Macaca mulatta: one gene and its partner. The protein of the gene in region 1 purifies or fractionates together with the protein of each later gene. This does not show direct contact. Links are inferred from orthologs where the notes say so. Each region holds a gene or a part of one and is shown in the gene's direction. Other genes may lie near its edges.

Region 1 (4,529 bases):
AAGAGAAAGCCAGCATCCAGCATGTTTACAGTGAGGTGTTGGATAAGGATATGTTTTAGTGAACCAGCAAGTTCACTTGTGTGCTGCTGGTACCAACTACGTGGTGGTTGTGGGACCCCACAGCCCCAAAAGAGCTTGGCCGTGTTGGAGCTCCCAGAGGCCCCAGGAGGGGTCCGGTCTGCTCTTCTGAGCTCTGCTGTCTGAGTCCCTTGTCCTTGGGTGGTAATCTCCTTAGTGGCCTGGTACTTTAGGCTGATGTTTGCTGTGGGTGGGGTGCTTTTTGACAGGTGGCTGTGCTTGTTGGGTTTTGGGGATTAGTGATGAGAGAGGGCATTTGGGGAACATTAAGTGGATGAGTGTTCTGCCTTTATCCTGAGCGGGGACCAGTCCAGATGTGAAGGCTACTGTGTCTGGGAGGCATCTCTTCTGTGGGGTCAGGGGAGAGTCGTGAGGAAGGCTCTGGCTCCTAAGGTCCAGGGAGGTCTTAGCTGACCCACAGATATTACCACGGGACTGCTTCTCCTCCTGTCTCCCTAGCCCCACCCCGAGCTGAGTTTGTAGCCCAGCTGGGAGAGATAGCACTGAAGGGGGGTGCTTGGTTCACTGATGGTTTGTTAACCCTGTCAGGTGGAGAATGTTCTGGGCCATTTGCTGTTATGTTCTGTGTCTGCCTGGGGTTACATTGCCTCAGCTTTCAATCCAGAGTTGTTCTCCTAGGAAGGGGTCAGGCAAAGGATATTTCTTGAGGATCTGGTGGATGGTTTCCTTGTCTATCCCAGGGGGATGTACCTACAGGGTTAGTTTGGGAGGGAGGAACAGGTGGGGAGAGGGGAGCCCCCAGACTTGAAAGAGCCAGTGGCGGGCAGTGTAAAATGGTTCTTCCTCCTCATCGCTCTATCCTGATCCTAATGTGGGCTGACCTGTCCATGGTTCCAGCCTGATCATGTGCAAGAAATAACATAGCAGCGACAAAAATAGGACAGAGTAAACAGCTTGCTGCTCTTCTGTCTCTGCTCTGACACAAAAGTGAGCTGGGATAAAATTAACAAAGCATCTGGAAAAAGTAAAGTAGGACCTGGACCACAACTTCACAATTTAAAATTGTAGAAGTTTATACTGTTTCTTTTGCAACATACTCAGTGAGTCTGTGGCCTCCTGCAATGCCTTTGAAGTTAAAGCTTTGGCCAAGAATGCAACTTCCATTTGTTATATTGTTCCCTTAGGATCACTTGAACCACTTTTTAGTGGGCTCCCTCCCACTCACCAGGAGCAAGTCATACATGTGTTTACTTGTGTGAGTATATATACATGTAACTTCAGATGGTGTATATGCAGATGCATTTTGATAATTTAGGTATACTGTATTTTAAAACGAATGGTCCTTCTGGTTGAGACTAATGATTCTGGGAATGGAGAAGGTGCAGGAGATGAGGCTTTCTCATGCTTGACCCCCTCTGCTCCTGGGCAGAGCACACAGTGTACAGTCCCAGATGAGGATATTAATCCTGTGTACACAGCATATACAGCATGCCAAAGCAAAGCCTTCCAGGACTGCAGTGTGCTCCTCAGGGCAAAGACTATTTGAGTTACTCTCCTTCCTTGAGCACTGAGGTGCTTAATAAATGTTTGTTGATTGACTTAGTGATATGCAGTAATCCCAAGTAGTCCTTTGATGGTTATTTTTGAAAATAAAGTTACACTGGAGCTTAAAAAAATGTTTGTTTAAATTAATTTATTTGTAGGATGTATTTGGGTTTTTTCCACGTGAACAGCTGCCAAATTGGTTAGGTTTTACTGTATTTCCTATGAGAAATACGAAGTGGGTTCCCATAAAGTCCAAAAGTTTTGTGAAAAGTTGGGCCCATCCTGGCATGTAGTAGGTACTCTATAAATATTTGTTGAATGAATGAAATCAGAGCCACATGGAAAATGATGTTCCCATGAAAAGCTCTTATTTCTATTCGGCGCATTTAATGTCCTAGTAGCTGGCATTTTGTAAGAGGATATGTTTTATTGGCAACAGTCCTAAAATTCAGTAAAGTCATTGGCTCATGGGAATGTGTCTTTGACAGTTTATTCATTAAGCAAATATTTCCTGACTCCTACTCTGTTCTGGGCCTGGGCTCAGTCCTGGGGATGCTGAGGAGGAGAGGTCTAAATTGTTGATCCTCTGTCAACAAAGACTCACTGAGTGTCTCAAGCTCTGGCCACAAAATGAAGTACAAGACAGCAAGGGCTTCTTGGCCCATGTGGGAGGATAAGCTACCTGGAAGTTTTAGTGCTAGGTGATTTTTATTGGTTGCTAATTACATCTAATAATTGTTATTGATGGAAAGCTAATTTCCCTAATTACCAATGCATTTATTCTGGTGATTCTTTTATCATAGCAGAAGATGGCTGTGCCACCCACGTATGCTGATCTTGGCAAATCTGCCAGGGATGTCTTCACCAAGGGCTATGGTGAGTGTTGCAGAGAGCGGGTGCCTTTCAGCCCCCAGACTGAGTTGGCATGTTTGAGACTTTACCGATAACTGTTTAGGAGACCTGGGTAGGTCAGCTGTTCTGACTTTCACGTGAAGGAAAAAAGCAGCTTTCATTTGTGTGGCAAATGAAGCAGTTTTGGTTGTGCCCCCAGTTGGACGGGCTCCTGCATTGATGCTGTCAAGTGGGTATTCCTGTTTTCTCTTCCAAGTGTGGAGCAACCCTGTGGAAGCTGCTGCAGTGGAGCGCGGCTTCTATATTTAGCCTGTGCTTAGGCACATGCCCACGAGGCCTGATGACTGTGTCTCTGCCAGCTGTCAGGCAACTTCTTCTCAAACCCTGCTGGGAGTGCAGGTGGGACCCAGGTGGGCCTGTGCGCATTCTGTCTGCTGCTGTTCCATGGCAGCTGAACTCCCCCCACGAGCAGCAGCAGAGACTGGGTGCCCTCAGCCCGTGTGGCAGTAGTGTACTTCTTCTAAAAAAGCGTTTCGAAGCAACCGTGAGGGAGGCAGAGGTGCTGTTCTCTAGATAGTTATTTAACCTATTAACAGTTGTCTTCTTCTTTCTTTAGGATTTGGCTTAATAAAGCTTGATTTGAAAACAAAATCTGAGAATGGATTGGTAAGTTGTCCAACCCACGTGGAACATGAGTATTTATTTATTTTTATTTTATTTTATTTTATTTATTTATTTTTGAGATGGAGTTTCGCTGTTGTCACCCAGGCTGGAGTGCAATGACATGATCTCAGCCCACCGCAACCTCCACCTCCAGGGTTCAAGCGATTCTCCTGCCTCAGCCTACCGAGTAGCTGGGATTATAGGCGCATGCCACCATGCCCGGCTAATTTTGTATTTTCAGTAGAGACGGGGTTTCTCCATGTTGGTCAGTCTGGTCTTGAACTCCCGACTTCAGATGATCTGCCTGCCTTGGCCTCCCAAAGTGCTGGAATTATAGGCATGAGCCACCACACCTGGCTTATTTTTATTTTGAAAAAAGATTTTAGATTCAGGCTATACATGTACAGGTTTGTTACATGGATGTATTGTGTAACGGTGAGGTTTGGGTTTCTAGTGTACCCATTACCCAAATAGTGACCATTGTATGGAACATGGGAATTTGTTGTAGATCAACAAATAACTGTCATGACATGGCCGGCAAAACCAAAAGAAGGTACTTTTTAAAAAAAATTCTGGCAGTTTGTGGTTTTCACATTCAGTCCATTTTCTACATGATGGGTGGTCCAGGGGAACCATGCCAATAGGCCCCCAATTCAGCAGCGGGTAATACTCAGAGCAGAATGGGGCAGGTCTCAGTTTCAGTTTTCCTTGTGCTTCTTATTTTCACGTTCACCTGTGTTCAACCACATAAGTGTTTTTAAAGTAATCTTAGTAGTCCCTTTTAAATTGTGTGTGCAGTAATTGTTGGAAGGAAGAAGTTTTGGGTTTGAGTTACTGCTGTGTCAGCTTTAGCTCAGTGCTTTTTTTCTGTACCGGGCTGGAGCCAGGATGGAGGGGAGATGCTTTCCTGTCCAGACTGAAGAGTTACAGGGAGGAAGGAAGCTGTCTGCTGACAACGAATTCCCCATAAGATTTCTTTACATAGCAGGCTCCTTTACTCCCATCTGTACTTTAAATATCTATTTGAATTGTAGAGTTAGCCTTGGCCCCGTCACATTCAGGGTCTTGCCTCTTGCAGAAAGGCAAGTGTAGTGTTTAGGAGTGGAGTGAAGCCAGGTGAATGCTGTGGTACAGGTTGTGACTCTCTCTCTCCTTTGAAGGAATTTACAAGCTCAGGCTCAGCCAACACTGAGACCACCAAAGTGACGGGCAGTCTGGAAACCAAGTACAGATGGACTGAGTACGGCCTGACGTTTACAGAGAAATGGAACACCGACAATACACTAGGCACCGAGATTACTGTGGAAGATCAGGTAATGGCTGCTGTGAAAAGACACGGATTTGCTAATTCACATCTGCCGGCCTGCCTTGTGACTAAACCTACTGGCAAATTTCTTTTCTGTTCAGCTTGCACATGGACTGAAGCTGAC
Region 2 (4,529 bases), on another chromosome or scaffold:
CAGTGAGCCGAGATCCTGCCACTGCACTCCAGCCTGGGTGACAGAGCGAGACTCCGTCTCAAAAAAAAAAAAAAAAAAGAGGCCGGGCGCGGTGGCTCAAGCCTGTAATCCCAGCACTTTGGGAGGCCGAGACGGGCGGATCACGAGGTCAGGAGATCAAGACCATCCTGGCTAACACGGTGAAACCCCGTCTCTACTAAAAAATACAAAAAACTAGCCGGGCGAGGTAGCGGGCGCCTGTAGTCCCAGCTACTCGGGAGGCTGAGGCAGGAGAATGGCGTAAACCCGGGAGGCGGAGCTTGCAGTGAGCCGAGACCGCGCCACTGCACTCCAGCCTGGGCGACAGAGTAAGACTCCGTCTCAAAAAAAAAAAAAGAAAAGAAAAAAAGTACAAATCATAAAATGTTGAAGATTGATAATAGATTACATTAAACATCTGTATAACAAGATTCCCAGACTAACAAAAACAAACCATACAAGCAGGTGAAAAAGATGTTAATGCCTAATAATATCCAAGCAGTAGGCAACCTGGTGGATGCTAGAATATAGGGAGTTGAACAGCCTCAGGTTGATGGTAGGAGTGTAGTAATGAGTACAGCCTTTTCAGTAGAAACTGCCACTCTGTTCCCCAGTGTTGAACATACACTTATGCAGCAACAGTCTGAGTGTATGGCCTAGAGAAACTTACGTCTGGGCATGACGTCTGAGGTGTAACGAGAGTTACCATTGCAGCATTGCATGGATAGTAGTGAAAAACTGCAAGTAACTCAAATGATCTAGGAAACTAAGTGTAGTCCGTTAAGGCAATGAAATATTATATAACTGTTAACTTTTGGGAGTGAAAAAAGACAAGTTGCAAAAAGCTGTACAGAATGATACTATTTATGTAAGGTATCTCTTCAGGAGCATTTGCTTGTGGTAAAGTAGGAAGAAAATGCAATGGGGGAAGGGTTAATTCTTGGAAAAAATGGATTAAAATAACAGTGTTAATTTTGGTAACATCAGAGTATTGGGTAGATAGTTATAAGGGTATAATTTTAAATGGAGAAAACAAACCATTTTGAGACAAGCAGGTTGGCTGGTTTCCTGTTTTGATGTAGTCTAGAGAAAAAGAACAAAAGCCCCTTACTCAAGCTGTAGCTTACCTAACTTCCAGACAATCAGCAGCAAAAAAATCCCAAGAAACTGTTATCATAAGTTCCTGCTTCATGGGGCTAGGGACCTCCCTGGGGCCCCCAGCATGTGCAGTTAGACTTCAACTTATAGTTACCTTTTCCTCATTTTAATGCTAAAAATCACACCCAGGGTGGAGATTTAACCTGCTAGTGCTACACGCAATTTCTGAAGAAGCATGTTTAGCCACTGTGCATGCGGTAGAGAAACCCCTCCTATATACATACCCTGACATCACCCCTCCCCATAGGAAGGCCCTTTAAAGTTAACTCCCACACTGCTTTCAGAGAACAGCTGCCCCTTTCCTTTTGCAGTGCTAGCTCACTATGCACAAGCTAAATAAACTTTCACTTTCTCTTTGCTATTGTGTCTGATGATCTCTCTTGATTTCTGTCATGGAAGATTCCAAGAACCTAGGTCACTGTTAACAATTTCAATTAAAATATTAAAAAATTTAAAGATCACAGCCAGCCATAGGACTGTACTTGTTGATGTTTTGATAAATATGGCCTTTACTTTTGTAAATTCAAAATTAAATTAATTTTGGTAACTTTCTAGGAACCCATCAACTTGTTGACTTTTCTTTTTGAAAGTATTACTTTGCCTTCTCTGTGTATATGAGTTCCAGATGATGAATTGGTTCCACCTAACAATAACAGAGTTCTTATGTAATTCTGCTTGTAGGAGTCTTCCTGAAAAAAAGCCGTTTGAAATACAGAAAAAGCTCTCTATGCTAATGTTCATTGCTGAGTTGTTTATAATTACAGGAGATTGGCAACAATATTTTCTTAAAAACAGGAATGGATGGTTCACTAAATCTGTTGGGCAGCTGTAAAGTCCAGTGAACCTGCTCTCCCACGTCACCCCATCTGCTGTTGCCAGAGTGCCCTAGTGCGTGACGGGGTAAAGGGGAGGAACGTGGGAGAATGTGGAGAGTGTCACATGTGCAGTCTCCAGTCAGTTATTTGTGTGGAGAAAACCTCTCCACACAAATAACTAGAACAAGACATGAACTCCTTCCTGTGTGGGAGGATGCCAAGTGTTCGTATATTTGTTTGTTTGTTTGTTTGTTTGAGAATGGGGTCATTTCTCCACTGACAGAGATGCATACATATTCAGTGTAGAACATTGGAGAACCAGGAGAGCACATAAATGAGTACCACCAGCAGCCCTGATCCTGTTTAGTCTACATGTGTGGACTTCGTTTATTGTATCTGGGGAAGGGAACATTTAGTGCCCTAACCTGCTGAGAGGCAGTGGAATCATGAGAGATAAATTTGTCTTTTTTGCCCTTCATTCTTATATCTGAGTTATCATGTTTGTCTGGCTCTGTTTGAGTGCCTGTTACGGATCTAGGGCAGTAAATATACCCAGCCTTGCTCTTAAACCTAGCATGGCAGTGAATGATGTGACCAGCTTAGAGCTGGTCAGTAGTACCTGGGAGTTAATCTGGTGTGTGTTCTCATTGTCTTTCTCTTGATCTCTTTCTGTCAAGAGTTTTTCATTTGTTTTTTAATTGAGGTATAATACAAATGAAATATAACATGCTAATCTTTTTTGTTGTTTAGGCTAACTTTTCTCTCTTTTTTTGAGACAGAGTTTCGCTCTTGTCCCTCAGGCTAGAGGGTAGTGGCACGATCTCGGCTCACCACAACCTTCGCCTCCTGGGTTCGAGAGATTCTCCTGCCTCAGCCTCCCAAGTAGCTGGGATTACAGGCATGCACCACCACGCCTGACTAATTTTGTATTTTTAGTTGAGACAGGGTTTCTCCATGTTGGTCAGGCTGGTCTCAAACTCCTGACCTCAGGTTAGCCACTGTGCCTGGCTAGGCAAACTTTTCATACAGTAAAATGCATAAATGGAACTGTATCATTTGTGAGTCATCACCTCACTTCCCTGTATTTCCATTGCTCTCAGAAAGTTCCCAGAGTACCTAAGTTTTATTTACAGTTCAAATTTTACACACTTACCTAAATGTGACCACTACTTGGATCAAGATATAAGAAATTTCTAGCGCCCTGGAGATTGGACTCGTGTCACCTGCTTATAGACAGACACATACTTACATACAATATTTGTGAGGATTGTTTCGGATACTCTGGTGCTGAAATTTGCTTCCTGAAGTCTGGTGTCATTTGTCTTTGTGGGTGACCTCACAATCTAGCCCATTTCTTCTGGCATCCCCTGCATACATGCTCCTTGTGCTCTGCCTAGCACTCTCCCGAGGAATAAATGTTTTGTCTCTCACAGATATGGGACACAGCAGGACAGGAACGGTTCCAGTCTCTTGGTGTGGCCTTCTACAGAGGTGCAGACTGCTGTGTTCTGGTATTTGATGTGACTGCCCCCAACACATTCAAAACCCTAGATAGCTGGAGAGATGAGTTTCTCATCCAGGCCAGTCCCCGAGATCCTGAAAACTTCCCCTTTGTTGTGTTGGGAAACAAGATTGACCTCGAAAACAGACAAGTAAGTACCAACGATGATAGATATTGTCACAGACACTTGCTCCCAAGGGGCCTTGTGAATTTGGAGGGTTCTCTGCTAAGCTCACATGGCTCTAGGAGGTGCTGGTGGGAGTCTTCATCACCCTATGCCAGCCCTTCAGGCCAACTGCCTTTAAGGACTGGGACCCAGGTGACCTGGGTTAAGTCCCCATCCTGCTCCCAGCTGGCTGTGACTTTACGCCATTGTCTTGGCTATCTCAACTTCAGTTCCCTTTCTGCACTTTGAAGGAGGGAATTCAGTTTTGTCATTCTCAGTAGTGCCCTCCCAGTACCTCCAGGCCGTGCTTGGATCTCCATGTGTGCAGAATATTGCTTTGGGCTTTGAGTGAAATTGCTGTACTATAGTTATAGTTTCAAATATCATTTCTGTTGGAAACATAGACTCTTTGATTAATTACGACTACGTTTATTTCTGACCATGGATCTTTTTTCCTCCCCTTCCTAAGTGACTTAGTCCTTATCTCTTGGCTGAAAATGGGCTAGGGGTTGGGGAAGGAATGAGAATGTGAGAGTGGCATGGGTGACATCACACTAGCAGTAATGGTAAAGGGACTCTAAACCTTAAGACCAAGCTGCTGGGCATTTCCTGTCCTGGGATCTCTGAGGTCCCAGTAAACACTCTTCATTTCTTCCCAGACTGGCTTCTTACTCCATTCACAAATGGCTTTTAAGTATAACTGAGGGTCAGAAGGTATGAGCTGTAGACTGAGACAGGCTTTGAGCTCTCTAGCTGAATCCTAGCTATCCTGAGCATAGCCAGCAGGGCGAGTTTGGACGGGTCTACTGGTCTCTTCCAACACCCTCTTTCCCCACATCTGTGTCCTCACCTGTACCACCTGTAGACGAGG

The links. The genes of interacting proteins can lie anywhere in the genome.
Region 2: the proteins of VDAC1 (region 1) and RAB7A purify together in Homo sapiens (affinity purification with mass spectrometry; 3 studies listed by BioGRID and IntAct, with this or other methods). This does not show direct contact. The link is inferred for Macaca mulatta from reciprocal best matches to the Homo sapiens genes VDAC1 and RAB7A.

The regions. Positions count from the first base shown.
Region 1 is NC_133411.1:142,894,603-142,899,131, reverse strand, and holds part of VDAC1 (non-selective voltage-gated ion channel VDAC1), read left to right. Parts: intron 1-2,387; 5' UTR 2,388-2,393; coding exon 2,394-2,460; intron 2,461-3,052; coding exon 3,053-3,102; intron 3,103-4,259; coding exon 4,260-4,412; intron 4,413-4,506; coding exon 4,507-4,529. UniProt on the Homo sapiens protein: Non-selective voltage-gated ion channel that mediates the transport of anions and cations through the mitochondrion outer membrane and plasma membrane.
Region 2 is NC_133407.1:155,150,245-155,154,773, reverse strand, and holds part of RAB7A (ras-related protein Rab-7a), read left to right. Parts: intron 1-3,424; coding exon 3,425-3,643; intron 3,644-4,529.